Linked DNA regions of Elephas maximus indicus. The main gene of each other region encodes a partner of the protein of the gene in region 2 in a complex. Links are inferred from orthologs where the notes say so. Each region holds a gene or a part of one and is shown on either strand. Other genes may lie near its edges.

Region 1 (7,625 bases), on a different chromosome or scaffold from region 2:
TTAAGAATCTGAATTGCACATTAGGAGTGATTTTCTAATCTTTAAACAAACAAAAAACAAAAAGTTGCCATCAAGTTGATTCCAACTCCTGGAGACACCATGGATGTCAGAGTACACCTGCGCTCTGTAGGGTTTTCAATGGCTGTGATGTTTCAGAAACAGATCCGCAGGCCTTTCTTCTGAGGTGCCTTTGGATGGATTCGAACCACCAACCTTTATGGTTAGTAGCCAAGCACTTAAACTTTTGCACCATCCAGGGGCTCTTAAACCAAAAAAAGCCAAACCCACTGCCGTCCAGTTGATTCTGACTCATAGCGACCCTAAAGGACAGAGTAGAACTGCCCCATAGGGTTTCCAAGGAGCAGCTGGTGGATTCGAACTGCTGACCTTTTGGTTAGCAGCCATAGCACTTAACCACTACACCACCAGGGATCCTGCCGGGCACATTACAGGGGCTTAATAGTGTTGAAAGAATGAAATAAATTATTAAGATGGGGAACGTGTCACTCAGAGACAGAAAAGGACACAGAGACCAGAGCCCAGCCATGCTATGTCTGCAGACTCTGGACCAGGAGGCGTACCCCAGGACAGGCACCAGGTCCCCAGAGGGTTTGATGCCCCGATGAGGAGGTGCTACCTGCTGGTGAGGGTGTGAGGGGACCAGAGAGGAGAAAGGAAGCCTTCTGGAACCCTGACAAGGTCAGTCTTGGCTTCCCTAACTGTGTTGTTGTATACCATTGAGTCAGTTCTGACCCACAGCGACCCCATATGACAGAGTAGATCTGCCCCATAGGGTTTCCTAGGCTGGAATTGTTATGGATGCAGATTGCCAGGTCTTTCTCCCACAGAGCTGCTGGGTGAGCTTGAACCACCAACCTTTCGGTTAGCAGCTGAGCACTTAACCACTGCACCACCAGGGCTTCTTCATTGGGGCACGGCGTATGGAATGATTTTGAAGGTCCAAATATTCTACATTTTTTTGAATCAGGATGATATGATAGTATCAACAATTCTACCAGCTCACAATGTACCAGATCCTGTTCTAAGCACTTTGTATGTATTCACTTGTTTAATCCTCATGTAATGGTCACACTTAGAGATGAAGAAACTGAGGCACAGAGAAGTGAAGTCACTTGTTCAAGGTCACACAGCTGGCCTTAACCCAAAGAAGGCTGGCTCCAGAGTCTGTGCTCTATAAACCAATGAACTCCACTGTCTCTCACTGGTCCAGTCAGCCAGCCTGACCCTCAGTCTGTCTTTGGCATACCTTCCCCAGCCCTAACCATTCAACTCATCAACTCGACAAACAGATATTTATCAAGTGCCCTCTGTGCCAGACCCTGTGTTCTGGGGACACAGGGATGAACAAGATAGTCACTGGGTGTTATGGATTGAATTGTATTCCCCCCAAAATATGTGTTGTAAACCCTAGACCCTATACAGGCAGTCCCTGACTTACGATGGGTTTCTGTTCTGATGAGTCTGTCGTAGGTCGGTTCTGACATAAGTTGGTGTAAGTCAAATATCTTTTTTTTCTTTTACGTTTTCATAGCCTGCTATATATGGCAGTGTTTTGAACACACTGAACCTCTGCGAGTGAACGTCTGAGAATGACATCAGCATATTACATGCTGCGACACTGTATGTAGTACGTTACTAATGATAAGATGTACCAAAAAGAAAAAAAGAAAAATGGTTGTAAGTATGGTTCCTCATAACTGGAAACTCAAGTATATCATAAATCGGGGACCACCCGTGGATACGGAATCCTGGTGGCGCAGTGGTTAAGAGCTATGGCTGCTAACCAAAAGGTCGGCAGTTTGAATCTACCAGGTGCTCCTTGGAAACCCTATGGGGCAGTTCTACTCTGTCCTACAGGGTCACTGTGAAGCTATGAATCGGAATCAACTTGATGGCAACAGGTAACCTGTGGATGTAATCCTATTTGGGAATAGGACCTTCTTTGTTATGTTAATGAGACAACATTAGTATAGGGTGTGTTTTAAGCCAATCAGTTTTGAGATTCAAAAAGAGATTAGGCACAGAGAGGGAAGGACAAACACAGAAGACAGACATCACAAGATCTCCAAGGAACCCTGGACCAGAAGTTTAATAAAATAAAGATCTTTTTCCAGAGGCCACAGAGAGGGAGCCTTCCCCTAGAGCCAGTGTCCTGAATTCAGACTTCTAGCCTCCGGAACTGTTAAGACCTGGCAGCATTTTGTTCTGCTGCCCATAAGGTCACTGTGAGTTGGAACTAACTCCACAGTACCTAACGAAGATAGACTGTGAGAAAACAAATTTCTGTTTCTTAAAGCCACCTACTTGTGGTACTTCTATTATATCAGCACTAAGAAACTGAGACACTGGATCTGTCCTGGCAAGGTAAGAAAAAAAAAAAAAAAAAAAAACCCACAGGTGTCGAGTCGATTTTGACTCATAGTGACCCCATAGGGTTTCCAAGACTATAATCTCTACAGAAGCAGACTGCCACATCTTTCTCCCAAGGAGCTGCTGCTGGTTTCAAAACACTGACCTTTAGGTTAGCAGTAGATCACTTTAACTGCTGCGCCACAGATAAGGAGGAAAACAGAGGGCCGTAACAGAGAAAAACAAGGGGCTTGCTTTAGAAAATGTGGTCAGGGAAGGAGAGGACAGTTAAGCTAAGACCTTATTTGTCTCCCCATTTCCCACAAAACATTTTAAGTGGATCCCAAGTCACTTTAGGCCTGGGTTCCCTAGGCCCGAGCTTTGATCTGGCCTGAGCCTCAGTTGCTGCATCTGTAGGATAGGAATGTGAGGGTAGAGAAAATGAGGTGTGTGGGAAAGGCTTTGTGAAAGAAGACACGGCAGTTTCTATGCAAGTGCTGGAGGCATTGAGAGGCTTTTTTTCTCTTACCTCCTAGGTTGCACGGTGGGGGGACTCCCGGGGGGTGGTTCCAGCACAGCTCAGCTGCATTGCTGTGGGAAGGAGAACCAGAGAACCCCAAATCAGCCAATTCTGGAGAATAGAGCACCTGAAAACCAAAAACCAAACCCACTGCCATCACGTCAATTTGAACTCATAGTGACCCTATGACCCTAGGGCTTCCAAGGCTGTAAATCTTCAGTGAAGCAGACTGCCACATCTTTCTCCACTGGTGGGTTTGAGCTGCCGACTTTTTGGTTAGCAGCTGAGTGCTTAACCACTGCACCACCAGGGCTCCTTAGTACACAGCACGGTTTCATCTTATCTACAAAAGTGGCAACAAGAGGATCGGGAAATCCTTTCTCTGGATGCCCCATAAGCTCAGGCACCACCTGGCGCGTCTCAGGAGGGGGAGAGGGTGGAGTGGGAAGGATGTCAGTTACCATAGCAATCTGTAACCTCCCCTCTCATGAATGTGTCCAGAAAGGTGGGGCTAGAAGTGACAGAAGCTGTTACCATGACAACCCCTTCCCTAGACATGTTCCAACTCAAAAGACAATCCTAAAATGTCCCCTACCTTGGTAGGGTTCTGGGGCCTGGTTCTAGGGTCACTGGAAGGGGACTGACCCTGCTACCATAGCAACCAGGGCTTGGTTTTGCCTGTTTCTCACCTCCCTGGGGATGGTCCAGGCCCTGTAACCATAACAACTACTCCTCATCAGAGCATCTCTTCCTCTAAATAAAAACACCTGGTTGGTTTGGCCCAGGGGCCTCCCACGAAGGAAAAGAGGGTGATGGTTACCATGGCAACTCCAACTGGGTGGTGTGGGGGGTTAAGGAAAAGGTGCTTCTCAGCCATTAGTCTTCTTGGGGCTCGGGGTCTCTTCTACCTGGGTGCTAGGTGAGGAGGAATGCCATAGTAACCGAGGTCGGTCGTTAGGGGCAGAAGGCCCATCAGGACCAAGATTACCTTAGCACCTCCTCCAGGTATGTGGGGGTCCATAGCCACAAAGGTGGGGGAGAGGAAAGACGCGCGGGGGGGGGCCCTAGGCTGGGGGGAAGGGTTACCATGACAACCGCCCTGGGCCAGGAAATCAGGAAGGTGCCACGGCCGAAACCACCCCCCCGTGGTCACCCTTTCTCTCAAAGAGCGAAAGTGATTGTCGAGGGGAGTGGTATTTGGGGCTGGAGAGGGTAAGACACTCTCTATTGGGCGACGCGAGAGGAGGGGGCAAAAAGTGGCCCCTCCCAAAGACTCGCTTCTCCGAACGGGGAGCCTCGCGCCCCGCCCACCCTTCCCGCCCACCCCCGCGCGCGCTTTCGGGGTCGACCCCGGTGGGCGAGGCGCGCGCCCGGCCTCGCTCTCGTTTGCTGCCCCTCCACCTCCCGCCGGGCGCGCGCGCAGAGGTTGGCGCGGCCGCGCAGGCGCGCGAGGCACAGCGGGCGCGCGGGCCGGCCCCGGGGCCTCCATGATGGAGGAGCGAGCGGCCGCTGCGGTCGCCGCCGCCGCCTCCTCCTGCCGCCCGCTGGGCTCCGGTGCGGGCCCTGGCCCGAGCGGGGCGGCCCCGGCCCCTGCCCCTGCCTCCGGGCCCGGCCCGGCAGGTAAGGGTGGTGGCGGCGGAGGCAGCCCCGGGCCCACAGCGGGGCCGGAGCCCCTGAGCTTGCCCGGGATCCTGCACTTTATCCAGCATGAGTGGGCGCGCTTCGAAGCTGAGAAGGCCCGCTGGGAGGCCGAACGCGCCGAGTTGCAGGTGAGCGCCGCCCCGGGACCCCGGCACCCCCACCCGGCCCCCCGCCCGGCCCCCGGCCCCCGGCCCGGCCCGGCCCGGCCTCGCCTCACCCGCCGCCGCCGCCGCCGCCATCTTGGAGCAATGGCCGCCGGGACAGCCGGGGGGGCGGGAGGGGACCGCTGCCGGCTCGCACAGGGAGTGAGGGGACGTCTGAGGGGGATCCTGAGGGAATCTGGGGGCTGGGACCGGCTCTAACTGGGTGTAGGGGAGACCCGGGGGCCGGAGGGACCGACTGGGACCGGCAGAGAGAAAGGGGCGGGAGGAGACCTGACCCGGCCAGCAGTGGGAGTGAGCCGCCCGGCCGAGGGGTTCCCCAGGGAAGGGGACTTGGGGCGGGAGGGGAACCTAAGGGAACTCACAGGAAGACTGTGAGAGGCGTTTGAGGGGTCTGAGAGAGATCCGAGTGGTTTCGCATGGAAGTGAGCAAAAGCTTGCAGGCAGCCGAAGGGGTACCGAGGGACTCCCACCTCCTCCCCGACCAACCGAGGGATGGAGGTGGAGTCTGATGGTTCCGGGTGGGAGAGAGGGGATGTCTACGAGGACTTGGGACCCGCTGAGGGCGCGGACGAGTCCGAGCGGGGAACCGGGATGATAGAGAGGGTGTCAGAAGCCTGGGATGGGGCATGTTTGGGAGCGTTTGGACGGGAGCACTAAAAGATGTCTGTGTGAGGACTGGAGTTAGAGGCGGATCCGACGGGTCCAGGATGGAGGTGTGTACCCTCCCCTGTAGGGAGAAAACTTTGGCGAGTTGTGGCATGTATGGTCACAGTTTGGGGAAGGGATCCTTTGCATGGAGATTTGGACAGGGCAGAGGATGTCCCCTAGGAGCCTGTGTGGAAGAGCTTGAGAAGGAAACTCCAGTTTGGGGGTGTGGAGGAGTAGGGGGCTGGCCGTGAGACGGGAGACGTGCGGAGGATGTTAGATAGAGAACCTTAAGCTGGAGAGGTGGGGTGTCAGGCATGCATACTGTAGAAAGGAGGAGACCTGGGATGGGGGCAGTGAGGAGGCATCTGGGGAGGAGGCATCTCAGAAGGATCCTGGGGGAAATGTGTTTGTGGAGTAGTTTGGAAGAGGGATGTGCCCTGGGATGATGGGTGGAAGCAGCCGGGGAGTTGGGCTGGGTTTTGTGACCTTGAGGAGCATGGGTCCATTTGCACAGTGCTTATTTTTTTTTAGTGGATCCTGGGGATCAGAGATGTGAGAATCTGAAGGGGTCCAGGGACAGCATGAGGTGTCTGAGGGTTCCTGGCCTGGGGTATTATTGGTAGAGGTTGTCAGTACCTGCTTCTAGCAGCCCGTCTTTCCTCAGCTGATTTGCTGTTTCCTATGTACCTGAGGTGGAGACTTAAATAAATAAATAACAAAAATTTTATCTATAGTGTGAATAGAGGCCTCTCTCCTCCAAATTCAAGGTATCTGAATACATCCCACAGTTCTCCGACCCCACTGGGCATCTTAGCTGTGTGGTAGCGGAGGTTCGGGGCTGGGCTGGGGGAGGAATCCTTATGTAAGTGCCCCTCGCTTCTGTGTTCATTTCTGTACTCTTCAAGCTCTTTCCCAGTTTACATGCCATTGGATCCTCTCAACACCCCATGAGGTAGGCAGGGCCATCGTCATTACCCTCATAATGATAAAACCAAAAAAATCAAACCCATTGCTGGAGAGTTGATTCCGACTCATAGCAACCCTGTAGGACAGAGTAGAACTTGCCCCATGGGGTTTCCAAGGCTGTAATCTTTCCGGAAGCAGACAGCTGCATCTTGCTCCTGCAGAGTGGCTGGTGGGTTCATACTGAGTGCTTAACCACTGTGCCACCAGGGCTCCTTCGATAATGATAGCAGCTGCCAATTATTGAGCATTTATAATGTGCTAGGCAGTGTATTAAGTACTTTAAATACACGCTATCATTTAATCCTTGCAATAGTCTGGGAGAGTGAGTGATATTTAGCCCCTCCCCCCATAAAAAAATCAGAAGAGGAAACAGACTTGAAGAGGGTAAATAATTTATCTAGGATCACAGCCCGTAAGCGGCAGAGCTGGCCTTTGGACTTTGAACCCATGTTCCGTACCTCTCTGCCACCGAGTACAGATGAGAAGACTGCCCTAGGGAAGCTCAGTGGCCTCCCAGAGTCACCCAAACAGTCAAAGTAGAGCTTGGACTGAATCCTGGTCTCTTGGGCCACACGCCTGTGTACCCGGCAGCACCCACCATACCACCTTCTCATCTTTGAGACTAACGAGTATAAAAACGTATGTGTACTCCCTCACGTGGTGACTCTTGAAGTTTAAGAGAACAGGTGGGTGGCACCCAGGAAGGCTGACCCCATCACTTACTTTGTACTTTTCTTTTGTTCTGTTACCCAGTTGCTGTGGAGTCGAGCTCGTGGCAACCCCATGTGTGTCAGTAGAACCGTGCTCCATAGGGTTTTCAGTGGCTGATTTTTCAGAAGTAGATCACCAGGCCTTTCTTCTGAGGCGCCTCTGAGTGGACTACAGCCTTTTGGTTAGCAGCTGAGCGCGGTAACCATTTGCACCACCCATGGATTCCTTTTGTTCTGTTACACACTAGTAAAAATTCAAACATCTCACAAGTGTACATATGATTAAAAAGGGAAAGCCCCCCCCTTGCTCCTTCCTTCACCCCTTCCTTACTCTTCTCTCCAGCACTTCTCAACGGTTATTTCTATAAAAGTAGTTCAGTTGTATGTGTGTATTTAATATATGAGATAATACTATCTGTATCACTTTGTGTCTTTCCTCATTTAATGATGTGTCATGTTCCTTTCCTATCCTCACACAGCTCTTCTTCATTATTTTTGATAACTACATAGTGTCCTGTTGTATGTTTGTCCCACCACTTATTTAATTTGACCCCTGTTGGTGGGTTTTTAGGTAGTTTCTGATTTTTCCCTCTCAGAAATGGCTGC
Region 2 (8,263 bases):
TACGGGGCCTTAGCGCTCTCAGGTGTGTGATGAGAGAAGGCTGACTTGCCTCGCAGCTGATAACCAGAATTCCAGTTAAGCAGAAGTCCGGGCATTTCCAGTCTGATGCACATCCATCCCTCCATGCCATACCTGAGGGTGACCACTACCCTGAACATGTGTCTCTCAAGTAGGCACTACCTCCTGTACTATGGAGGCTTGAGAAACAGCTTAAGCTGGCCTCACATCACAGGTGTGCTGCAGCAGCAGCGATGGGTATGCACTGACATAGTCGCACTTGCTGGCATCCCTTGTGACCCACTGCCCGAGGACAGATCACTGCTGGGGGATAATTTATGGAGAGAACATCACTAGCTGTCCCCACATTGGGACTGAACCCTACAGCTAACTGAGCTGACTACACACAGATGCTTCATAAAAGTGATGGGCAACCCCAAGTCATGAGACACTGAAGGCTTGAATTAAATTACTGTATTTTTACACAAATAATGCATACCTTCTGTGTTTTTTTTTTGCCAACTGCACACTCCCTCTACCCCCTACCAGGTATTTCCATAAGCACACTACGCTACCTTTTTTTTTTTTTTGACAGCTGAAAATATCTCCCAGGGAAAGGGCAAGGCTGGCAAACAAACATAGAAGGCACGCGTCATTTATGTAAAAATACGGTTACGTGTTTTATATATCTTATTAGTAGCACTAATTAAAGAAAAAGAAACTTCCAAAATATATTTACACTCTTAATTTTCTGAAAGAATATATCGATAAGGAAAAAAAAAATCTATTTCTTCCATTCCCAACCAATACAAAGTTCTGTGCTTTACCAGAGAGCTCTGCAGCCCACTTGTCTGTGTCTGCATACTCAAACTCAAGGTCTGGCGACTCGGAATAGCCCTGCTGAGAAAAAGAGAGAGCTTTATGCAAAAGATCATTCCGAGCATTGTTAAAAGAAAGAGACATATGCTCTCCAGACACAATGTTGTGTTATAGAACATCACTGTCTCCACTTTTTTGATGTTTTATCAAAATACTTTGTTTCCTGTCCTAGCTTATGAAACCAGGTGTCATCGATTCTGACTCATGGCGACTGCATGTGTGTCAGAGTAGAACTGTGCTCCGTGGGATTTTCAATGGCTGATTTTTCAGATGCAGATTGCCAGGCCTTTCTTCTGAGGTGCCTCTGTGTACACTCAAACCTCCAACCTTTCAGTTAGTAACTCAGCACATTAACCACGTGCATCACCCAGGGAACCCTCTCAGAGCATCTTATACTTTTCCCTCATAGCACTTTTTCGGTGTCAGAATTTTTGTTTAGTGTCTATCTCTCCAGGAGGGTGCAAGTTCCTTGAAAGCAGGAACTTGTCCATTTTGTTCACCAAAGATTTCACAATGCCCAGCAAAGTACCTGGCATGAATGAGTGAATGAATTAATAGTTTATGTCTCAAATAAGTGCTTGTTAGATCAGTGAACACAAAGCTTCTCTGTATTTTGTGCACTGAATGACCACTCTGCACGGTGCTAAGATTCTGGAAGTCTCACGTCTTTCTGGCTACTGGGCTATCAGCAGCTCAGGACAAAGTGGGTGTTGAAGCGCTTCAGCCTTCTTGTCCCTCTCCCCAATTTCAGTGAGAACTGACAGACGGAAAAGGCAGCAGCCTCACAGAATGGCTTCCCTCCCCCACACAGAGGAGAATTCGGCAAAGGAATAGGTGATTATTAAGAAGACACCATCTTGAGAGGTGCATTTTCACAACCCTCCACACCTAAAAAGGTATCAAGTCCTCGCCATGGCCCTCCCACCACCCCACCATGCAAGGGTTCCTGAAAGGTCAATTTCTTTGATTTTTAAACAATTCACTTCAAGCTCAGGGTACCTCTACTTTGGACTTGCCAAATTTTGACATATTTTACCAGACTTTAGGACCGTCAACAAAAAACAGAAGTCTGCGAGGAACTGATTTCACAGGTCTAAAGATAGTATCATCACTCTTTGGAATGACCCGATAGTTTTTCTTGGACAATGATGAATTCTTGCTCATAAATAAGAGCCTGACCGCTTGATCAGCTTCCTCTGAGTTGTCTCAGGTGAAGCCGACCTCATAGTAAGTGCCTGGGAACATGCTGATTAAGAAGTCCTAAAACGCTGCCAAGTGTGTGTCTTCATTCATGAATTCTACAAAAGGAGGCAGTGGGAGGAATTCTTTAACTCGGGGTGAGGTTACGAATCGACCAGCTCCAGACTAGAGGATTACAGTCTCTGGTACTGGAGGAACAGCCCACTAGCAAGAGGGGAGGGGGAAGAGGAGCCCTAAGGAACGTTGAAAATGTACATTCCTGATCTTAACAGTTCAGCATCAGGCGCACTGAGCACAGCAGCCACCAAACACTGTCACATCATGGCCTGAGCCTGCTAAGGAGAGAAACAGGGAGTGTTACTCCCTCCCATTCTTGCAACCTCTGGGAGCTAGTACTATTAGTGATAATTAGCTCCGTCCGGCTTCAAAGAGCCTTTTAAACACTGGCCAGTCCCTTCCCTGCCCACACACGCGGTCCACAGCGCGCTGCGGATCCACCGACCCGGCGCCCGCGCGCCTGGGATCAGCAGCCGAGAGACGACGATCAGGGGATGGGGGCGCAGCCACCTTGGCCCCCTAGAGAGCACGAAGACCGCTGACTCTTCACCCGCGAACTGGGATGGGGAGCTTTCCCTAGGGGCTGGGTCCCCCAGGCAGCGCCCACAGCCCCGTCCCAGAGCAGCAAACCAGCGATCACCCGGCTCCGGGCGGTTCTCCCGTGCGGCAGGGATCCGGGCGGGATCCCGGCTTCACGCCCCCGGCCCGAGGGGGGTGCCAGCCTTGCTTCCTGCTTCTCTCGTAAAGTGACAGCCTCCCGGCCAGGCCCGTCGACCGCTCTAGGAAGCGAGCTTAGACCCCAGAGCGGCCCCAAGTCCAGGACCTCCACAGCCGCCCGCCCGATGCCAGCCTCGCCCCCCGAGCTCCCGACCTCCGAGTCTTTGCGCTGGTTGCGGTTGAACTCTCGGGCTTTGCCCCCGGGCAGGAGGCCCCCGCCGGCCCGCGGTGCCCCAGGTGGAGGCTGCGCGGATGCGGGCGGCGGAGGTGGCGGCGGCTGCGGCTGCTTGTTGTTCACCATCATCGGGATTGGGCCGCCGGCTGCCGGCTCCATCTTGGCTGCTCCACACCCCCGGCTCAATTCTCGGACTGTCGCCGTGACCCAATTCTCGCGTGATTTCCTCCAGGAACTTTCCCTGGTCGCCATATTACGTGTGGCGGCAGGCGCTGGACGCCATCTTGACTGCCCGTCACCTCGCGAGATTCCGTTTGCCTGAAATATTCTTTTCCTTCTCTGCGTTTTTTGTTTCCACGTCTTCCTTCCAGTCCCAATTTAAATGTCATTTTTATCTGTGAGGTCTCCCCTTGGCTCCTTCGGTTAGTTTAGTTTGCCCCCTCCATCGCTGTAACTTCGCTTTGCACTTACCTCTGTTATAGCCCTGTTCCAGGCTTTGGGGATATAGCGGTGAACAAGATGAACAAAGTCCTGGTTTTCCTGGAGTGTACATTCACATGGGGACAGACATACACTAAACAAACAGATGAATAAATAAAGCAGTTACAGTAGTGAGAAGTACTAATTAGTCATTCAACAAACTTTTAATGAATATTTCCTCTGCTCCATTTTTTCCAGGCAGTGGGATAGAATGGGAAAAAAATGGGAAGCAAGTCAAATTTTTGCATGGGTACTTACATAGAGCCTAGTGGGAGAGGCACGCAAATAAACATAACAGGGAAAAAAGTACTGTGAGGAAACAAAAAAGTGTAAAGGATTAGAGGGTGAATGGTGGCTGGAGACTGGGGAAGGGGAAATGCGACTATTTTCAGTAGGCTGGCCAAGGAAGACAGACATGAAGATACACTTTTAATGAGTTCTGGAAGAAGTAAAGGTTCATGGCGGTAACACGGGTAGAAGGACCAGCTACGTGTCGGGGGCCCTGAGGTCATTGTGGCTGGAACAGAGTGAGTCCGGGAAAAAGTGGAAGGAGATGAGGGTCAGATGAGGCAGAGCCTTCAAAGTCACGGAAAGGAGCTTCGATTTTAAGTGAATCGGAAAACTATCAGAGGGTGTCAACCAAGGTGGTGGCATGATCTGATGTTTGAAAGACCACTCTGGCTCCTCTTGGATAAGGGATTGGAGAGTTGAGAGAGTAGATGAAGGTAGGCAGGTTAGGAGGCCATTTTAATGGAGATGATGGCAGTTTGGACTAAGGCTGATATTTCTATATTGTGTAGGTAGAGTTGAGAAGATTTGCTGATAAGCTGGAATGTGGAGGATAAGGCACTGAAGAATAAACGATGAGTCCTAGATTTTTTATTTGAACAACTGGGTGGATGGTTGTCTCAGTTATTAAAATAGGGAAGCCTTAGAGAAAGAACAGGTTTTGGGGAAGATTTTTGTTTTGGACATGTCAAGTTTGAGATGCTCATTAGACATCTAGGAGGTGATATGTAATAATTACCTGTTACTATGTTGTGACATGCTTGGAGACACCTTATCCATTTTTGTCTCTCCAGGACCAATATTGTCCCACCTAAACCAAAACCAAACCAGTTGCCGTCGAGTTGATCGAAGCGACCCTATAGGACAGTGTAGAACTGCTTCATAGGGTTTCCAAGGAGCAGCTGGTGGATTTGAACTGCAGACATTTTGGTTAGCAGCATGATCTCTTAACCACTGCACAACCAGGGCCCCATTGTCCCACCCAGTAGGTGCTTAAAAAGCCTTTGTTGTAAATTAATAAATCCAGAGCCACCATGTTGCTGTTTTCTCCTACCTACCTTCCTGTCCTTTGCCCCAGTTCCCTCTCATATCCAGTAATACCATTTCTAAATTAGCATTTCATCCAAGCTGAACGGAGCCAACTTTATAGGAAAAACTAAGGAATTTACAGGAAAAGGACAAATGTTGAGAGACTTCTTAGATAAAATCGGTAATCTCACACAGCCCAGCATGCAAGCAGACATCTAGTTTCAGTGAACACAGCTTGGTCAAGTTCTAAGACTGACTTATCATAAACTCTATCACCTGGAAAATTATTTTTTAGACCTTCCAATGCCCTATACCGTTTCAACTACATTCAGGAAAGGGGAAGGTTTTGGTTCAGTAATTCCACTTCCAAGAATAGATCCTAAGAAAGTAATCACATATTTAGACAAAGATATATGTATGATGATGTTACCAGCAGTGATACTTTCAAACATGAAAAGTTAGGACTAACCAAATTTGTGAAACAGCCAATAAGAAAGTGGCTAACTGAATAACGGGTATACATAGGATAGAATATGGAGAGACCACTAATATTTGTGCTTAATAATACTAAGAAGAATTTTTAAAGACATGGAAAAATGCTGTGATATAATTGAATACACAAGTGGTTCTGCGTGTGTGTGTGTGTATAGAGAAGAGACTGGAATGAAATACACTGACCTCTTAATAGGTTTTATCTCTGAATCGATGTGATAACATATGTGGCAACATAGGTTATTTTCATTTTCTGTGTACTTTCCTGTGTTTTCAAAATTTTTATATTCAATCTATTTTAACAGCTTTGTTGAGCACATGTTTAAGGTATAAAATCTGGTAAGTTTTAGCATACAAAAACACCCATAAAACCATCACCACCATCAAGATAATGAACATAGTCATCACCCCAGAAAGTTTCCTTGTGGCCCTTTGTAATTCCCCCCCACCCATTACCACTGCTCCCATTTCCAGTCAATCACTGAAAAACTTTGTTACTATAGATTAGTTTGCATTTCTACAATTTCATATAAATGGAATCACATATTATGTATTCTTTTTTTTTTTAGCCTTTCATTCAACATAATTATTTTGAAATTCAAGGTATCAAAGCTCATGAGTAGTATTCCATTGCTTATCTAGTCACCTGTTGATGGACATGTGCATTGCTTCCAGTTTTTCTTGCTTGTTCAAATTCAATATCCACAGGTAACACGGCTTTTTTTTTTGTTTTTTTTTTTAAATAAATGCTTGTGTGGTAACTGGACTAACCCAAAAGCTAAGAAGTTTCCTGAATACAACCAAACACTTCAAGGGACAGAGTAGCCAGGGCTGGGGTCTGGGGACCATAGTTTCAGGGGACCTCTAGGTCAACTGGCATAACAAAGTTTATTAAGAAAATGTTCTGCGTCTCACTTTGGTGAGTGGCATCCGGGATCTTAAAAGCTTGTAATCGGCCCTCTAAAATATATTCATTGGCCCCAACCCACTTGGAGTAAAGGAGAATGAAGGAACACCAAAGACACAAGGGAAATACTACTCAAGAGAAAAAAATGACCACATAAACCAGAGAATCCATCAGCCTGTGACTAGAAAAACTAGATGGTGCCCGGCTACCACCAATGACCGCCCTGACGGGGAACACAACAGGAAGTCCCTGACGGGGTGGGAAAAAAGCGTCACATAAAAAGACCAGACTTAATGGTCTGACTGAGACTGGAAGAACCTCTGAAGCCATGGCCCCCGGATGCTCTGCTAACCCAGAACTAAAACCATTCCCAATGTCCACTCTTCAGACAAAGATTAGACTGGACTATAAAACATAAAATAATACTCCTAAAGAGTGTGCTTCTTAGTTCAAGCAGATACACAAGACCAAATGGGCAGCTCCTATCTGGAGGCAGGATGAGAAGGCAGAAAGGGGCAGGAGCTGGTTGGATGGCCACGGGAAACCTGAGGTAGAAAGGAGGAGTGTGCTGTCACAATGTAAGGACTGCAGCTAATGTCAAATAACAATACCTGTATAAAATTTTGTAGGAGAGATTAACTTGAGCTGTAAACTTTCACCTAAAGTTAAAAAAAAAAAAGAGAGGCTTCTGTGGAAAACTTTCCTGAATGAAGTGCTGTGTCCCCAAGCTGTGACCAGGTCATGAATTCTAAATAGAACTACTTAAACTGGCACCATTTTTGAGTCCCAGAGAGTCCTCACTTTACCTGGCAAAAGCTCCTTGAACTACGCTTCACTTGGCATCTGGAAGGAAAAATAATCCCATAGGAGAGGGAGCCAAACATGTCCCTCTTTTGCTAAGAAGCTACCAGAAAAGCACAACTGAATAGAGGGTAGAAGTTACAGAAACATCTTCAGACTTTTTTATTCCTTCTTTCCTTATCTGTCAAATAGTTCTACCTGCCTTATGAACTGTGGATTAGATGAGTTAATTTATGTGAAGTCATTTTGGAAACTGAAGCATTGTTAAAGAGAGACAGAAAGAGAGTTGTTGTTAGGTGCCATCGAGTTGGTTCTGACTCATAGCGACCCTATGCACAACAGAACGAAACACTGCCCAGTCCTGAGCCATCATTACAATCGTTGTTATGCTTGAGCTCATTGTTGCAGCCACTGTGTCAATCCACCTCGTTGAGGGTCTTCCTCTTTTCCGCTGACCCTGTACTCTGCCAAGCATGATGTCCTTCTCCAGGGACCGATCCCTCCCGAAAACATGTCCAAAGTATGTAAGACGCAGTCTCACCATCCTTGCCTCTAAGGAGCATTCTGGCTGTACTTCTTCCAAGACAGATTTGTTCGTTCTTTTGACAGTCCATGGTATATTCAATATTCTTCCCCAACACCACAACTCAAAGGCATCAGTTCTTCTTCGGTCTTCCTTATTCATTGTCCAGCTTTCACATGCATATGATGTGATTGAAAATACCATGGCTTGGGTCAGGCGCACTTTAATCTTCAAGGTGACATCTTTGTTCTTCAACACTTTAAGGAGGTCCTTTGCAGCAGATTTACCCAATGCAATGCATCTTTTGATTTCTTGACTGCTGTTTCCATGCCTGTTGATTGTGGATCCAAGTAAAATGAAATCCTTGACAACTTCAATCTTTGCTCATTGGTCCAGTTGTGAGGATTTTTGTTTTCTTCATGTTGAGGTGCAATCCATACTGAAGGCTGTGGTCTTTGATCTTCATTAGTAAGTGCTTCAAGTCCTCTTCCCTTTCGGCAAGCAAGGTCGTGTCATCTGCATAACGCAGGTTGTTACTGAATCTTCCTCCAATCCTGATGCCCTGCTGTTCTTCATATAGTCCAGCTTCTCGTGTTATTCACTCAGCATACAGATCGAATAGGTATGGTGAAAGAATACAACCCTGACGCACACCTTTCCTGACTTTAAACCAATCAGTATCCCCTTGTTCTGTTTGAACAATTGCCTCTTGATCTAT
Region 3 (7,348 bases), on a different chromosome or scaffold from region 2:
CGACTGCCTCCTTGACATGAGACCAGAAGAACTGGATGGTGCCCAGCTACTATCACTGAACATTTTGATTGAGGATTTCATAGAAGAATCCTGATCAAAGGGGGGAAAATGTAATACAGAATTTCAAATTCTCATGGACTGTAGAATTTCTGGAGCCATGGAGGGCAAATGAACCCCTGAAACTATTGCCCTGAGATAATCTTTAAACTTTGAAGCAAAAATATCCCCTGAAGTCATCTTAAAACGGAACAATAGTTTAGCTTAATTAACCAGTAAAAAAGGTTCGCCTTGAGCATTATGCTCTTTACAAACTACCTAAAGGGATCAGACTAACAACAGTAACTTGAAAGGTTAGATAGGAACCTTAGGGGGCAGTGAATTTATGTTAATGGGGGAAGAACAACTCAGAAAAGGAGGGTGAGAATGGTTGCCCAACTCAAAGAATTAATCACTGTCACTAAATTGCACATGTAGAAACTATTGAATTGGTGTATGTTTTGCTGTGTATATGCTCAACAACAGCAACAAAAGAAATAAAACTTTGAGAGAAACACAAAATGCCAATGACACCCTGCTGAGAAGCACTAACCTGGGCCAACAGAACCCCACAGGATAAGGAGTTGTCAACCCTACAAAATACATCTTCTCTCACAAACATCCCCTATGAGGAAGAGGATTCCAGGCTAACCCTCAGAAGTCTACTAATCACTCAAAGAAACTGAAATATTATGAAAAAAGAAACAAGGGGGAAAAAAGGATTGAAAATGAGAAAAAGAAAGACAAGAAAGAGAAGGAAGAATAAAGGGAAGATGAGATACCCATAGACCAGCAAACTGAAGTGGGTCATCTACACAATATTAGGGTAGTCTCAGCAGCATGCTGACAACTAACAACAACGAGTTAAATGAGCTTTATGGGCTGACCAGGTGCTAACCACTAACTTGCTTTCGAAGGTGAAGCACACTGAGCTCCAAGCAAACCGACTGAGAAGGAACTCGTCAAAAACAGCACATTTCCAATTTGGAGGCCTTGCTGTGCTATACTCTACGTGAACCAAAAACCAAAACCCAGTGCCATGGAGTTGATTCCGACTCATAGCGACCCTATAGGACACAGCAGAACTGCCCCATAAAGTTTCCAAGGAGCGCCTGGCAGATTTGAACTGCCAACCCTTCAGTCAGCAGCCGTAACACTTAACCACTATGCCACCAGGGTTTCCATAGTCTACATACACTGTGAAAATAACATACCACGGTCATACAAGGGTGACTTTGTTAACACAAAGTGAGGTAGAGTCCAAGCGCTATGGTGAGGCTTCACACTGAGCAATGTAAAAGCTCATAAAACCCAGCAACCAAGTCAGTAAAAATGAACAAGGTACGCTCTGGGGTTGCTAGGAAAAAAAGGACACGATAGAGACGGTGTCATTTAGAGTTCTGCCTGCTCTGGAAGTGGGCTGGCCTCCTTAATGTATGGTTTAAAAAACTGCCAGGAATTACAAGTACCATACTTTTAACCAGGATTCCCTTAGCTCATAAAATGAAACAAACATTCATCTGCAGAAAATGAAACTATCTGTTCACCTTCATTTCCACTTGAAGTACTGCACTAAATACATCGACCGGGTTATTAATATTGAGATGCATTTTTTTTTCTTAAGCAATTTCTAAACAGTTTTCAATCATGGAGTTGGGTTTCTAACGTCTTTTATATACCAAATGGACCCAGGATGCCTGAATATGCATTCCAGACTTTACAAAACACTGACCTTGATTCCTTGGTTTACCAAGATAATCACTGACAAGCAGTCAGGAGCCCTGGGTAGTTTTTATTAAGTGAGGATTGTTTTTGAAGCTAGTGGAAACCCCTAAAATATCCTCTATTCATACAATTAGAAATAAGAATTACTGTTTTCAAATTTATAAAGTACTCCAAATTAAGAACCCTTCAAAGCAATTTTGGGGGCCACTCCCACTGAATCCCAAGGAACCCTTGGTGGGTGTGTCCCATTCCACTCAGCCTGCATACACCTGCCCAGACTGAATCTCCACTGTCACCGTCATCTCCGACACAAACTGCTAAGGATTAAAGGATTCTAGGGGGTGGGGAGACAGAAGAAACATTCATTTCCTTATTTAAGTACAAACAAATACAGCAGTGAGTGGCTGACGCTCACTTTCCACAGCTACAATCTTTCCCTTACCTCCTTCCTCCCAGGATGAGGTAGGATGACCCTCTTCTTTTTCAAGACCAATCCTAAAAGCTGGGCTTTAGAATCCATCCTTCTCTCCTCCAGGATACAGCTTCACCAACTTCAATTTATCCCACTCTACTGGCTCTTTGCCCTTGTCATATCAACGTGCTCAAGTTTCTTCAGTAAAAAAAAAAAGTCCTTGACCCTGGTCATTCCTTCACTCCTTCCTCTGTAGTTCCGTTCAAGAGGAGGTCCCCTGAAAGTCATCAGGACCAGCCAAGTCTCCACCTACCACCGGACTCACTCCTCAGCCCACTGCAGCCTGGCTCTGCCCTCATCACAGCCCTGAATCAGCTTTCGCATGGGCACCGATGACGCCATTTCTGCATCTCCTCTGTGGCAAGCTATACACTCAGTAGCCACACACTCCTCTGAACTTTCCACTCCCTTGGCAGCTGCAACCCTGCTCTGCACTGTCTTTGTCCAACCTCCCTAGTCCTTCTAACAGAAATCTTCACTTGTAGACTCTACCCTTGCCAGACCTTCCACGCAGACAGTCCCCAAGACTCTACACCTGGCCTCCTGTCCTTCCCAGGGTTGTCATACACAGGCCCATGGCTGGGGGCCGTGCTTCCCAAACCTGCCTGGTGAAAGTCACCTGGGAAACTTAAAGAAAGAGATCCCAGCACGCTTGCAGACATACATGGGGGAAAGCACACAATCCACCTTTTAAAATGCTCCTATTGATCATCATGAACAGCCATCTCAGTAGAGAAACTGTTTAAAATTATTGTGTAAATGATAACTTTCAAATTGTTATCTCCAGCACTGCCTTTTGAGTTTTAACTCCTAGTACCAATTACTAGATATTGTCTCTCTCTACCTGGACATCTCAAGGTCAACATGGACAGAGTGAATCTGCCATTTTACCTGTTGAACTGGACCCTCCCTGCCATCTTCTCCCTGCTTCTCACCCATCCCCTTTTTTAAACTCTGTATCTACGGCATGTCACTGATGGTCAATAAACTTTCCCTCAACAATAAGGAAACCCCAGGTTTACAGTGACACAAATGAGATTCTGGTTAGTATTACAGAGAATATCCTAATTCAGAGAGACAGGAGGCCCTGGGAAAAGGGGCATAAGGATGACAACATCTCTGGCTAACAAGGGTAAGGAACAGGTGATGAGGGCCTGACTTTGCTAAGTTGGGAGCAGTCGTTCGCAAATCTCAGTCTGCATCAGGGTCACCTGGAGGGCTTGTTAGAACACAGATCTGGGGAGGGGCATTTCCAGAATTTCTGAATTTGGTAAATGTGGGGTGGAGGCCAAGAATTAGAGAGTTTCCAGGAGATGCAGATGCTGGTGGTCCAGGGATCACACTTTGAGAGCCGCTGCTTAGACAAAACGTGAAGAGAAGCAAAACAGCTTTGACAAGTCGATGTGCCACTAAAAAATGACTTGTTTTAGGTCAACTTCAACCTGACTATTCCCCTGCCCATATTAAGAAAAAAAGTAGCATGTCCTTTCTGAGAGTTAAATAAGAAAAAGAAGCCAACAAGAATTTATCCAAGCCCCTACAATGCTGGAAAGGTGCTTGACTGGAAACTCTGATAGACTGCCATGCCTCCCAGTGCCCACACCCTCTTTACACCATGGCTTTGGCACTCCTCCCTCCAAGTCAAGAAATAGAGTCTACTTCCCCATCTCTTGAACCTTGGCTGGCCTTGTTACCTGTTTTGACCAGTAGAACCTGGCAGATGTGATGATGTGGGGCTGCCAAGCCAAGGCATCAAGAGGCCTTGCAACACTCCCTTCTTCCAACCGTGCGACGACCAGGCAGTGAAAAAGCTCAGAATCAAAGACCGTGCAGTGAGCGAGGCCCATCCCAGCCACTTCACTGATCCTACTTCAGATCCCGGATATGTGAATGAGGTCACCATAGACCATCCAGCCTCAATCATGCAGCCACACGCTCACTGTAGCCACTAGCTGATTGCAGCCACATGAGGGAGCCCGGAAAAGGCCAGCAGAACCGCCCAGTCAATCCACAGAATGGTGAGAACTAGTTAATCGTTGTTATAACTAGGTTTCAGTTGGTTTGTTATAGGAAATAGATAATTGATACAGAAATTGATACCTAGAAGTACGGTAACAAAAACCACCTGTTGCCATGGAGTTGATTCTGACTCACAACAACCTCATAGGGCAGAGTAGAACTGCCTCATAGGGTTTCCAAGGAGCAGCTAACCTTTTGGTTAGCCAAGCTCTTAACCAGTGTGCCAGTACTGCCCTTAAAAGAAGCCTAAAATATGGAGGCAGTGGCTTTGGGACTGGACTGGCCAAAGGCTGTAAAAGCAGTGTGAGGAGGCCATTCGCACAGGGTAGAGGAATGGCAAATAAACTGTTAGTGCAGGGAGAGGTGGTAAGAAACTTATTAGAGGCTGGTAAAGAACGACCCATGGTATGTAGTGGCGGAACAATTAGGAAAATGTCACTGCAGGAAAAAGGAAAAAGAACTGCAGGAAAAAGGAAAAAGAAATGGCTAAAGAGATTTCTAGATAGAATGTTGAAAGGACCAACGAGGTTTGGTTTTGTTTTGTTTGTTTGTTTTGCTTAGTAGGAAGAGATATATACTAAAGCAGGAAGTGTTCAGTTTAAAAACAATTTAGAGAAAATACGGAAATATGGACAGGACTTGCTGGGCTACAAAATAAAACTGTGCTTTACCTAGGAGTTCCTCAAGCCAGTAAAGATCCTAAAGGAAAGGCCTTAGGGTAGAGATCAAGCCAAAGGTGTGGCTGTTAAGCTCCTTCTTCAAGACCCTGGAAAATTCAAGGCAGTGACCAGTAGAGACTCTCAACTAAAAATGGGCTTTTAACAAACTTAAGGACGTCATCCAACCGTGCCCTGACACACTTCCAAAGTAGAAAGATACTTATATCTCAAAAGTACTGTAGATGTGGTGTTTATCCAGTTAGTGGACTATAAACTGGTACACAGGAAACCCTCAATGTTTTTAATCAAATCTGGATTAAAAGGCAGCGAGACAGTTCATATCAAAATATCCTCTAGGTCCCCAACTTTCTACAAGCAGGAAGCAGGCTGAGAAAGCTACTAAAGAGGATGTAGCAAAAGTGATGTTGTGAGCATCTGAGGACAGGCCTGGGAGGGCAGAGCCAAGAGCCCAAGACTCCCAGAAAACCAGCTAGGGAACCACGCTGCTGCGGTTGTCAGGTGCTGTGGCATACCACTCTCAGAAAGCAAACCTGAGCCTCAATTAAGAAATACTCCCTGCTCCGCATGGACGGGACCCAGGCAGCTTGTGCCACCTGGACTGCTGAACTGCTATGTACTCTTTAACTCCGTTTGTTTACTGATATATGCCTCTCACGCCTCCCCCTCTGAAACAGAAGTATCCCCTGCAGTTATTCTGTTCCTGTCTTGCCGCTGTTCGCGGGATATATGGGGGGGCAGGTACGTCTTTCTCCTTACACCTCTCTGAATCAAGAGACCATGCCCACGGAGTTGCCACCTATCAGCTCCCATGCATTCAGACACAATGCAGATGAGAGATTACAGACTGAGTCGGAGGCTACGCCAGGAGGAAAGGAGGGTACGGGAGAGAGACATGCATACCTTGCATGTGGGAGAGACATCGATCCTTAGGACCAGAAGGCAAACTGGAGTCAATAGTTACAGTCAGGGCCCCAAAAAAACGACCCCGGCTGCCATGTCCATTGCCTTGGTGGCTCAGTGGTTAAGAGCTCAGCTGCTAACCAAAAGGTCAGCAGTTCAAATCCACCAACTGCTCCTCAGAAACCCTATGGGGCAGTTCTACTCTGTCCTACAGGATCGCAGTGAGTCCGAAACAACTCGATTGGCAACAGTTTTGGTTTGTTGTTTTTTTTTTTTTGACCACCACGTCCACACTCCTATGCAACTCTACCTCCTCCTTCCACAAAAAGGCAGAGGCCCTTTCCCGCCCCCTGAATCTGGCCTCGCCTTGTGACTTCCTGTGATGTTTGCTATTTGCAAGGTCAAGCCTTAAGAGAATCTGTAGGTTTCACTTTTGACTTCTTGGAATGCTTCCCCAACACATAAAGAGGCCCATCTAGCCCAGGACAGAAGCCACACGTGGAAGAACAGAGGTACTAAGGTAAACACTCCGGCCCACTGCTGGGCATGGAACAAGGTGCTCAGCCTACCCACCTCTCTGTTCCTGCTGAGCCCTGGCCCCAGAAGTCTGCCACTACGGCCACATGAGTGAGCCCAGGCGAGACTGCAGGAGGACCCCCAGTCGACCCAAAGAATCTCCAGAACTCCTGAGTCATTCCTGTTTTAGGCCAGAAAGTTTCGGGTGACTTGTTACACAATAATAGATAGCTGAATTCAGTATTTTTCAGTACAGTAGGAAAACATCCATTCCTGGAGGGAAAAAAGGCAGATGTTCCATGCTCTGGGAGGGGGGGAAGGTGTTTCATTTTAATAAACTGCTTGTTTTTCCCTTTTCCTAGTCTAAGACAGCTTAGGAGACAGCTGTTCCTACTACTTTTACTATCCTCCCAGAAGACCTTCTCCAGGAGCCTGCCACCTGTAAACTTAGCCATAGTTTGTTTCACGTCTGCTCACGAGCGTTCTGTCTCAGTAAGAGCTCTACTTCGCTGCTGTAAACTTGGCTACGAACTGCCCTTGGCAAGCAGGGAGACATCTGCCAAGGCAGTGACCACAGGGCACTAAACAAGGCAGGGCTCAGCCATGGCCAGCATTCCGTGCCCGCTGGCAAGTCTCACATAAACTCATTGTCACACAACACTGTCCCGCGGCCATAAGAAAACCAACATCGAAGATGACTGATTTCAAAAAGGAACCTCAAGATTGTATTGTCAGAATTTGTTCTCTGAGGAAAGCTGGTCTCCTTGGTAGAAAAAGTGCCTTTTTTGCCAACTATTTTGAGAATTCTTTTTTAGAAAGGTTTATCCTGAACTAAGCACTGCTCAGTCTCAAGTTAGATGGGTCTACCGGCCTTCACCCCTGCACATCTAACTATCCTGAAAGGGAGAAGAGACCTGGCAATCCACTCCCGAAAAGATTACAGCCTAGGAAACAAAATGGGGCAGTTCTACTCTGTCCTATAGGGTCACTATGAGTGGCA
Region 4 (7,886 bases), on a different chromosome or scaffold from region 2:
ATAAAGAGTTTTCTATTGTGCAGTAACATCTCCATCTGCTGGAACTTTAGGTGTCTGCTAACTCCATGATCCTGGAACCAGTAAAAATTCAACTTATTTTTTTTTGGGGGGGTGGGGGCAGATATTATTCCATTTAATTTCATCTCAGCAAATATTTATCATGAGCTTAAGATGTGCCAGGTCCTGTGCTAAGTGATACAAAAATCAAGAACGGTTAAGCAAAAATCTCCGCCATCAAAGAGCTCACAACCTGGCGGGAAAGACAGGTATGTAAATAACCTCCCATAACTCAATGAAGTAAGCGATATGCTTACGTTTTCCATCAGTTCTGAGGTTGAGACAGGCAGAACCATGGAGAGTCATGTGTGAAAGCCCAGGGGTATAGCTCTTTCCTGACAAAGGATACATCTGAAGGTCCAGCTGCATTTCTGCTCCTTCATCCCACCAAAAGTTGAGGTGTGGAAAAAGGGTGCAGCTGAGAACTGGGATGCACTCAGGATACAGCTGCTAAATGTAACAACAGTCTATTTGGCACTATAAATGGAGCTGGGGTCTGCCTGGGGGACAAAGGCTGCCAAATCTTAATTTAAGACATTACCTTTCAAAAAAAAATGAATTAAAAAAAAACATTAAGTTAAAAAGAAATAATAATACGTTAAACTTATAATGAAAATACCTTATGACTTAAATAATATAGCACACATATTACCTTTAAATATGACCCATAGTATTTCGTTACGTATGAGCTGTCACACTGACTCAAAACAGTTATCTCTTGCTGAATGTCTTCAATTTCATCTTCGGCTTCCTCTAGGTCTATGATTTTAATAGCAACCACTTGCTGGGTACGGTTATCAATGCCTTTGAAAACTTCTCCAAAGGAGCCTTTCCCAATGCGTTCTAATTTTGTGAACAGTTCTTCTGGATCGGCTATATTATTCTAAGGGGGAAAAGAGATAAAGAGGAAAAAAAAAAGACAAGTGCTTTGAATCAAATGTTTTTAAATGAAGAAAAATAAATCACATAAGACAGTAACACATTTTTTAAAAGCATAAAAAGAAGTCCTTTGACTTGCCGCATGTGCTTTGTTAGAACAATTGTAATCCTCAATGATCCACTAGTCTATATTCTATTGAATCATTCACACTAACTGGGATTAGCTGATCTTCCTACCACAAACAATCCCATACAGCAAATGTTGTCTGAGCTCCCTGCCAAAGGATCAAGCACTTCTTAGAATCAGCAGCTGGTCATATTCAGTTTACACTTTAATAGAAGGGTAGCAATGGTGAGAGAGAGAACAGCTAAATTAAGTGTAGTGGGTTGAATAGTGGCCCCCCAAAAGATATGCCCAAATCCTAACCCCCCCAAAGTTCTGAATGTGACCTTATTTGGGAAAAGGGCCTTTGCAGAGGTAATTAAGTTAGGATCTCGAGATGAGATCATCCTAGATTTTCTGGGGGGGGCCCTAAATCCAATGATCCAAACCCAAACCCACTGCCGCTGAGTCGATTCTAATGTACAGCAACCATGTAGGACAAAGTAGAACTGCCTCCTAGGGTTTCCGAGGCTGTAATCTTTACGAAAGCAGACTGCCACATTTTTCTCCCACAGACAGGCTGGTGGGTTCGAACCGCCTACTGTTCAGTTAGTGACTGAGCACTTAAGTACTGTGCCAAAGTCCAATGGTAGGTGTTCATATAAGAGAAAGGCAGAGAGAGATTTGAGGTAGAGACGCATATAGGGGAGAAGTCAGAGGCAGAGGCTGGAGTGATGCACCTACAAGCCAAGGAATACCAAGGATTGCCAGCAACCATCGCCTGAAGCTAGGAGACAGGTATGGAATGGACTCTGAGAGCCTCCGAGGGAACCAACCGTGCTGACACCTTGATTTCAGACTTCTGGCCTCCATAACTGTGAGAGAATAAATATCTGTTTTAAAGCCACCTAGTTTGTGGTAATTTATTCCCCAACTCACACATCTCAATCATTCCCCGTATACTTCCAAACCACCATCCAAACGACACAGAACACAATAGATTCAAGAATTTAAACTTAAGGAAAAAAAAAAAAAAAACAGAAACAAAAACTCAGGATCCTATCGGCACGTACTGGTCTAGTCCAAGGCTGAAATAAGACGCTATTATTCCTTTGTCACAATTCCTTTCACAACTCATCTCACAGTGAGAATACAGAAGTCGACACTTTGCTGCGATAAAACCTGAACTCAAGCATAGGTTTCTAGGTTAACAAATGTACAGGCATGACTTAGATTTATACATTTGATATTCTTTTCTGATTCAGAAACTATATCCTTTATGTTGTAATATACAATTTTGAATTAAAATTTCACTTGGATGAAACAATCTTTATATCTTTACGTTAACTCATATTGAAGATACACTACTGACCAAGTAGAAACTCAGGATTGAGTCTCCCTCCCCCACCGAAAAGACAGTTTAATAAATTATACTTAAGTGCTTTATTAGTTTATATCTAAAATTTTACTTTGAGTACCTTCAAAATATAGGAGGATTCTATCTAGCTCTGGTGAGCTGTCTATATTTAATTTGCCAGTCAGGCCTAGAATATCTGTTCATTTACCACCATTTTACTTAGCCATCAGTTTCAAGAGATAATTATAGAGTTAGCACATTCCTAATATCTTCCTTGGACCCTGGTGGTGTAGTGGTTAAGAGCTCAGCCACTAACCAAATGGTCGGCAGTTCGAATCCACCAGCAGCTCCTTGGAAACCCTGTGGGGCAGTTCTACTCTGCCCTATAGGGTCGCTATGAGTTGGAACTGACTTGACGGCACCTAACAACAACAAAGGTATCTTCCTTTACTAGACAAATAGGCCATTAAAATTTATTATTTGTCTCTGATCAAGTTCTTGGTGCCATGATTACCAAATAGATCCACTGCTACTCCAGTGAGCTGCCTCCTTTTGAGGTAACTTGAAGACTTATGACTGCTTTTAAAGAATTTCACCAATTTTTCTTTTTTCAGCCTGCTTAAAGTACAGTTTGCACACGACCTGCTTACGTTATAAGCTTCCCCATTCTCCTTGATTGGATTTTGTTCTTTTCTGAAAGATGCCCTTTCCACGTAGCAGTCTCTGATGTTGCAAGCTACTTGTGTATTCCTACCCACCTCTAGTCCCACACGGAGTAAATATATCTTGAGTTTCCCATATATCCATTTAAAACTAGTTTAGACTTCCAGTAGGTTGCAAATGCCTCTTTAACGCTCATATTTTGTTATAATACATTCTCAAAAACTTGAGTACCATCATTATTAATTTCCTTGGCATTCTCTCTCTTACCATGACATTGTACTTCATGCTGATTACTATTACACAGTGGTTAACTCACAGTTACCTCTTTCTACTTCTGGTGATGGTTGTTGCCTTTCTAGTACCTTGTGGCAAAAATACCCATCAAATATCTTAGTGATGGGTTTGCCTCCCTATAACTTCCTAAATTCAGTGGGCTTTGAAAAATAAAAAGAAATAATCTTTCAGTTGTCCTGATGCAGCTGCAAAGCTAGTCTAAAATTTGGAAATAAGTCGCTGGTTAAAAATATATATGTACTTTCTAAAACAGAAATGGATAACACATTCTGGATTGAGAAGTATATTCATTAACTTATAACAAGAATTGTCAGTTGGATTTTCACCTAAAGCACAATAAAAAAATTAAAAGAAAAAAAAATCATCTGTTGTAAAAAACAAAGATTAAATCCCAATCTTCCTAATTAGTGTTTTAAAAGGCTATGACTAAAACAATCAGCTCCAGGGGGGATAAAGCTGTTCCTTGCTTTCTGTACTAAATGAGTTCCTGAAAGTGTGTAGATCAAAGACTTAAAAACCAAGTCACATTTTGCGTTTTAAAGAAGCTCTGAAGTGAATCCCAACTCATCAATATAGTTAAAGATTTTCAATCAAGGAATACCAAGTTGGAGACAGAAACGTTTGCACTTCCCACTCCTCATCTCCCTGAGGGATACAGGTCCCTGTCCTATTTATCAATTCCTAACTCTCTGGGAAGTTCTAGTCTGTCCCATAGGGTCGCTATGCATCAGAATTGACTCAACAGCAATGGGTTTTGTTTTGTTTTATATCCCTGATTTAAAAAACAAAACAGTTGCCATTTAGTCGATTCTGACTCATAGTAACTCCATGTGTCTCAGCGTAGAACGGTGCTCCATAGTTTTCAATGGCTGATTTTTCTGAAGTAGATTGCCAGGCCTTTCTTCAAGGCATCTACAAATGGATTTGAACCTTCACCCTTCCTGTTAGGAGCTGAGCATGTTAACCATTTGTACCACCCAGAGACTCCAAATCTTTCACAGATAATCCCAAAGATCTAATTTCCTGTTCACCATCTCACTGGCTTATTAAATCAAGGTATCCTAAGTAGTTATTAAGACAGATTTCCTTTCTTTTTTTTAGGGAAAGGGCAAAATTCAAGTAAATAACTTGTAAAAATCCCAAAGAATGCAATTAAAAGACCATCTGTATAAAGAAACTGGTTTGCTCAATCATTCACACTACTCTTCAGAGCCTGGAAGAAAATCAAGACAGCTCTCGAAGAAAATCAAGTCAGCTCTCTACATACCTAAATCAAATATTCTTTTACGAATATTAAAATTTCTAAACCTTTTTATGCATAATTAACGGTTACTGTTGCATCTGTGTTTGCATTGCCTTCTGGAAGCAGTAGCCCAGAAAGGAGCTTTAAATTCTGTAGCAAATAGTAGGAACCACTAAATTAACCTCATATTAATTTACAACAAATGGTGTATGATTTGTATATGCCCTGCAAAAATGGATTTATGAAAATGAAAGCCTCTGAGATCCACCTTAGGGCATTCACATTATTCCTGGACCTTCTTTACTGGTCCTTTGGTATGGATTTGGAGACTTCAACTGTAAGTAGACTGTTACAAATTTAAGTCATAGGCCCAACCCAGCCCTTGCATGTTCTTGTTGTTAGGTGCCATCGAGCTGGTTCTGACTCATAGCGACCCTATAGGACAAAGTAGAACTGCCTCATAGGGTTTCCAAGGAGTGCTTGGTGGATTCGAACTGCTGACCTTTTGGGTTAGCACCCTAATGCTTAACCACCAGCCCACCAGGAATCCAGTAAGTCATAGACAGAAGGTATTAATACCATTAAGCAACAACAACGACTACTACTAATCAGTATGGGAATACTCTTTGGAAGCCCCAAAGGAAAAAATGAAAAGCGGTCATCTTGCCCGTCGCCTGTGGAAAATCAGCAGCAGATGAGAGAAGGCCTCTTGCCTACTCACTCATAGAAACAGACGGCTAGAAGAACTCTTAAAGGTTCTCTAGTGCTTGCCAATCCTGGCTGCACATTGAAATTACCTATACAGTTTTTTTTAAAAAAGATGTACATACCTAGGCCCCACTCCAAACCTACTGATTGAGAATCTCTGAGATTGGAGCCCATAAATCAGCATTTTTTTTTTTAAAGCACACCAAATGATTCTTACACAGTCGTTTTGGTATCAGTGTTGAGATCAGCCTTTGGGAACCACTGACCAGACAGATCTGAAATTTGTATCCAGGATTAAAAGGAAACTAATTACCCTCTTTTTCTCAGGCAAGCACACAGCTCTCTTCTAACCCTGTACACTAGACATGAACAACTTGGAGATTAAAATAAAACCAAGAGAACTTTGGTATATATACATATCATCCCCCCGCTCCCCCCCCCCCCCCAAAAAAAACCTGTTGCCAATTCCAACTCATAGCAACCCTAGAGGACAGAGTAGAACTGCCCCATAGGGTTTCCAAGGAGCACTTGGTGGATTCAAACTGCTGACCTTTTGGTTAACAACTGTAGCTCTTAACCACTATGCCACCAGGATTTCCTATATACATAAAAAAATATATAACCCCAAAAAAACCAGTACTTAAAAATTTAAGCTTTTAGTACTTCTTCTAAGTATTCATGTCTAGAATTACTATTTAACCTTAAATAAGACTAGAAACATAATCTTTACCAAAACACAAGCAACTCCGTGTATGTGTTCTTGAACATCTTTTTACCCAATATAGTCCATGTAATATTAGGGTATATTGTGACTGGTGACAGAGTTTTAAGGTAACTTCCAACACTGACAAAGAGTAAAATTTTAGATCTAGTCAGTTAATAGAAAAGGAGTCCAACTTGTTGAGGGGGCATTATGCTGAGTGAAATAAGTCAATCATAGAAAGACAAATATTGTATGATCTCACTTATATAAAAAGACAAGAAAAGGCAAATGTACAGAGAACAAAGTTTATTAGTGGTTACCAGGGGTAGGATGTACCACTAGATGGTACATCTAGAAACTGTTGAATTGGTGTATGTTTTGCTGTGTATATTCTCAACAATAGCAAGAAAATACTTTAAAAAAAAAAATAAGTGATCAGGAGAAATAAGAAGACTGCAGGAAGAGTTAGAATTAACTTTGGGATTCTACCAGAATGAAGACCTGGAGAGCCAAAGGTGAGAAATACCCAAAGATACAGAATCTAATTTCTTTGAATCTGGGGGAGCTAAATAAGACCAGTTGTCTGGGACTGAGAATGAAAGCATAATAGATTTAGGGAAGAGAAGGTAGACTTCTCAGAGAATTTGACCAGGAAGCGTTGAGCGCAGGTGGCCTGAAAGAACCTTCAAGAATTGGAATCAAGCTGAGCAAGGCTAAACTCAGATTATGTTTTGTACCTTCCTCCCTGTCCTATAAAGTCCGTACTATGAATGCTTTCAGCTATAAGATACTTTTACACTTTTCAAGGACTAGCCAGTGTTTTTGCCTACTCACTGATAAGGAGGGTATGCAGGAAATGATTAGCAAAGAATGTGCTATTGGTATCAAGGCTTAGAAAGGAAGACTTCCTACCCCCTTCAAATCCTCAAGTAGAAGTAGCAGGAGTGACCAGTAGTGAACCCAGGCTATCCTTACAATTAATCGCAGGCAGTAACTAAAAACTTTAGCCTAACAAAATGTACTAAAAACTAACGAGAGCTACACCTAGTCAGCTACCTATTTAAATTGTGCAGATTAACTCTTCCAAGCTAGAGATGAAAGGAGCCCTGGTGGTGCAGTGGTTAAGTGGTCAGCTGCTAACCGAAAAATCGGCAGTTCGGACCCACCACCAGCCACTCCACGGGACAAAGATGTGGCAGTCTGCTTCTGTAAACATGACAGCCTTGGAAACCTTATGGGGCAGTTCTGCTCTGTCCTACAGGTTTGCTATAAGTCAGAATCGACTCGATAGCAACAGGTTTTTTGGTTTTTTTTCCAAAGATGAAATACTTTTCTGGATTACTACTATTACCTGTTATCTAATAAGCAGAGTACATATAAATAAAAGTCATTCTCTTGTGGTTTCATGAGCCTTAAATTACTGTTTTAGTACGATCGCCTATATTAAGATTTCGCATTTGCCCTATGACTATTGCCTAAAAAGTTTGTTGAGTATTTCCTAGTGAAGATACTGCCAGAAGAAAAAAAGAAAATATTCCTAGTGAAATTACTGCCAGAAGAAAAAAAAATAAGATTTAAAATCAACAACCACATACTTCTTAGCACTGCTTGAGTTCAGGATCACAGGACGCTATCTTTTAAAGTGCCAGATATGAACCTTGGAGTCCCTGGGTGGTGCAAATGGCTAAGCACTTGAACCTACACAGAGGCACCTCAGAAGACAGGCCTGGCAATCTGCTTCCGAAAGGTCACAGCCTCGAAAATCCTATGGAGAAGTTCTACTCTGCACAAATAGAGTCACCACGAGTTGGAACTGACTCAACGACAACTAACAACAACAATAACAGATATGATCCAAGCACAATTGACTTCTCCCTGG

What was found.
Region 1: STRIP1 (region 2) and STRN4 share a complex: the UniProt entries of both Homo sapiens proteins name them as parts of the core of STRIPAK complex. The link is inferred for Elephas maximus indicus from reciprocal best matches to the Homo sapiens genes STRIP1 and STRN4.
Region 3: STRIP1 (region 2) and STK24 share a complex: the UniProt entries of both Homo sapiens proteins name them as parts of the core of STRIPAK complex. The link is inferred for Elephas maximus indicus from reciprocal best matches to the Homo sapiens genes STRIP1 and STK24.
Region 4: STRIP1 (region 2) and STK26 share a complex: the UniProt entries of both Homo sapiens proteins name them as parts of the core of STRIPAK complex. The link is inferred for Elephas maximus indicus from reciprocal best matches to the Homo sapiens genes STRIP1 and STK26.

What each region holds. Positions count from the first base shown.
Region 1 is NC_064829.1:102,263,679-102,271,303, forward strand, and holds the start of STRN4 (striatin-4), read left to right. Parts: upstream 1-4,242; 5' UTR 4,243-4,377; coding exon 4,378-4,659; intron 4,660-4,748; exon of another isoform or gene 4,749-4,786; intron 4,787-7,625. Other genes in the region: ribitol 5-phosphate transferase FKRP, read right to left, coding at 2,900-3,047. UniProt on the Homo sapiens protein: Calmodulin-binding scaffolding protein which is the center of the striatin-interacting phosphatase and kinase (STRIPAK) complexes.
Region 2 is NC_064821.1:171,316,301-171,324,563, forward strand, and holds the start of STRIP1 (striatin-interacting protein 1), read right to left. Parts: upstream 3,209-8,263; 5' UTR 3,185-3,208; coding exon 3,005-3,184; intron 898-3,004; coding exon 825-897; intron 1-824. UniProt on the Homo sapiens protein: Plays a role in the regulation of cell morphology and cytoskeletal organization. Required in the cortical actin filament dynamics and cell shape. Part of the striatin-interacting phosphatase and kinase (STRIPAK) complexes.
Region 3 is NC_064832.1:93,223,397-93,230,744, forward strand, and holds the start of STK24 (serine/threonine-protein kinase 24), read right to left. Parts: upstream 3,146-7,348; 5' UTR 2,282-3,145; coding exon 2,204-2,281; intron 1-2,203. UniProt on the Homo sapiens protein: Serine/threonine-protein kinase that acts on both serine and threonine residues and promotes apoptosis in response to stress stimuli and caspase activation.
Region 4 is NC_064846.1:24,086,535-24,094,420, forward strand, and holds the start of STK26 (serine/threonine-protein kinase 26), read right to left. Parts: upstream 3,345-7,886; coding exon 3,327-3,344; intron 941-3,326; coding exon 710-940; intron 1-709. UniProt on the Homo sapiens protein: Serine/threonine-protein kinase that acts as a mediator of cell growth. Modulates apoptosis. In association with STK24 negatively regulates Golgi reorientation in polarized cell migration upon RHO activation.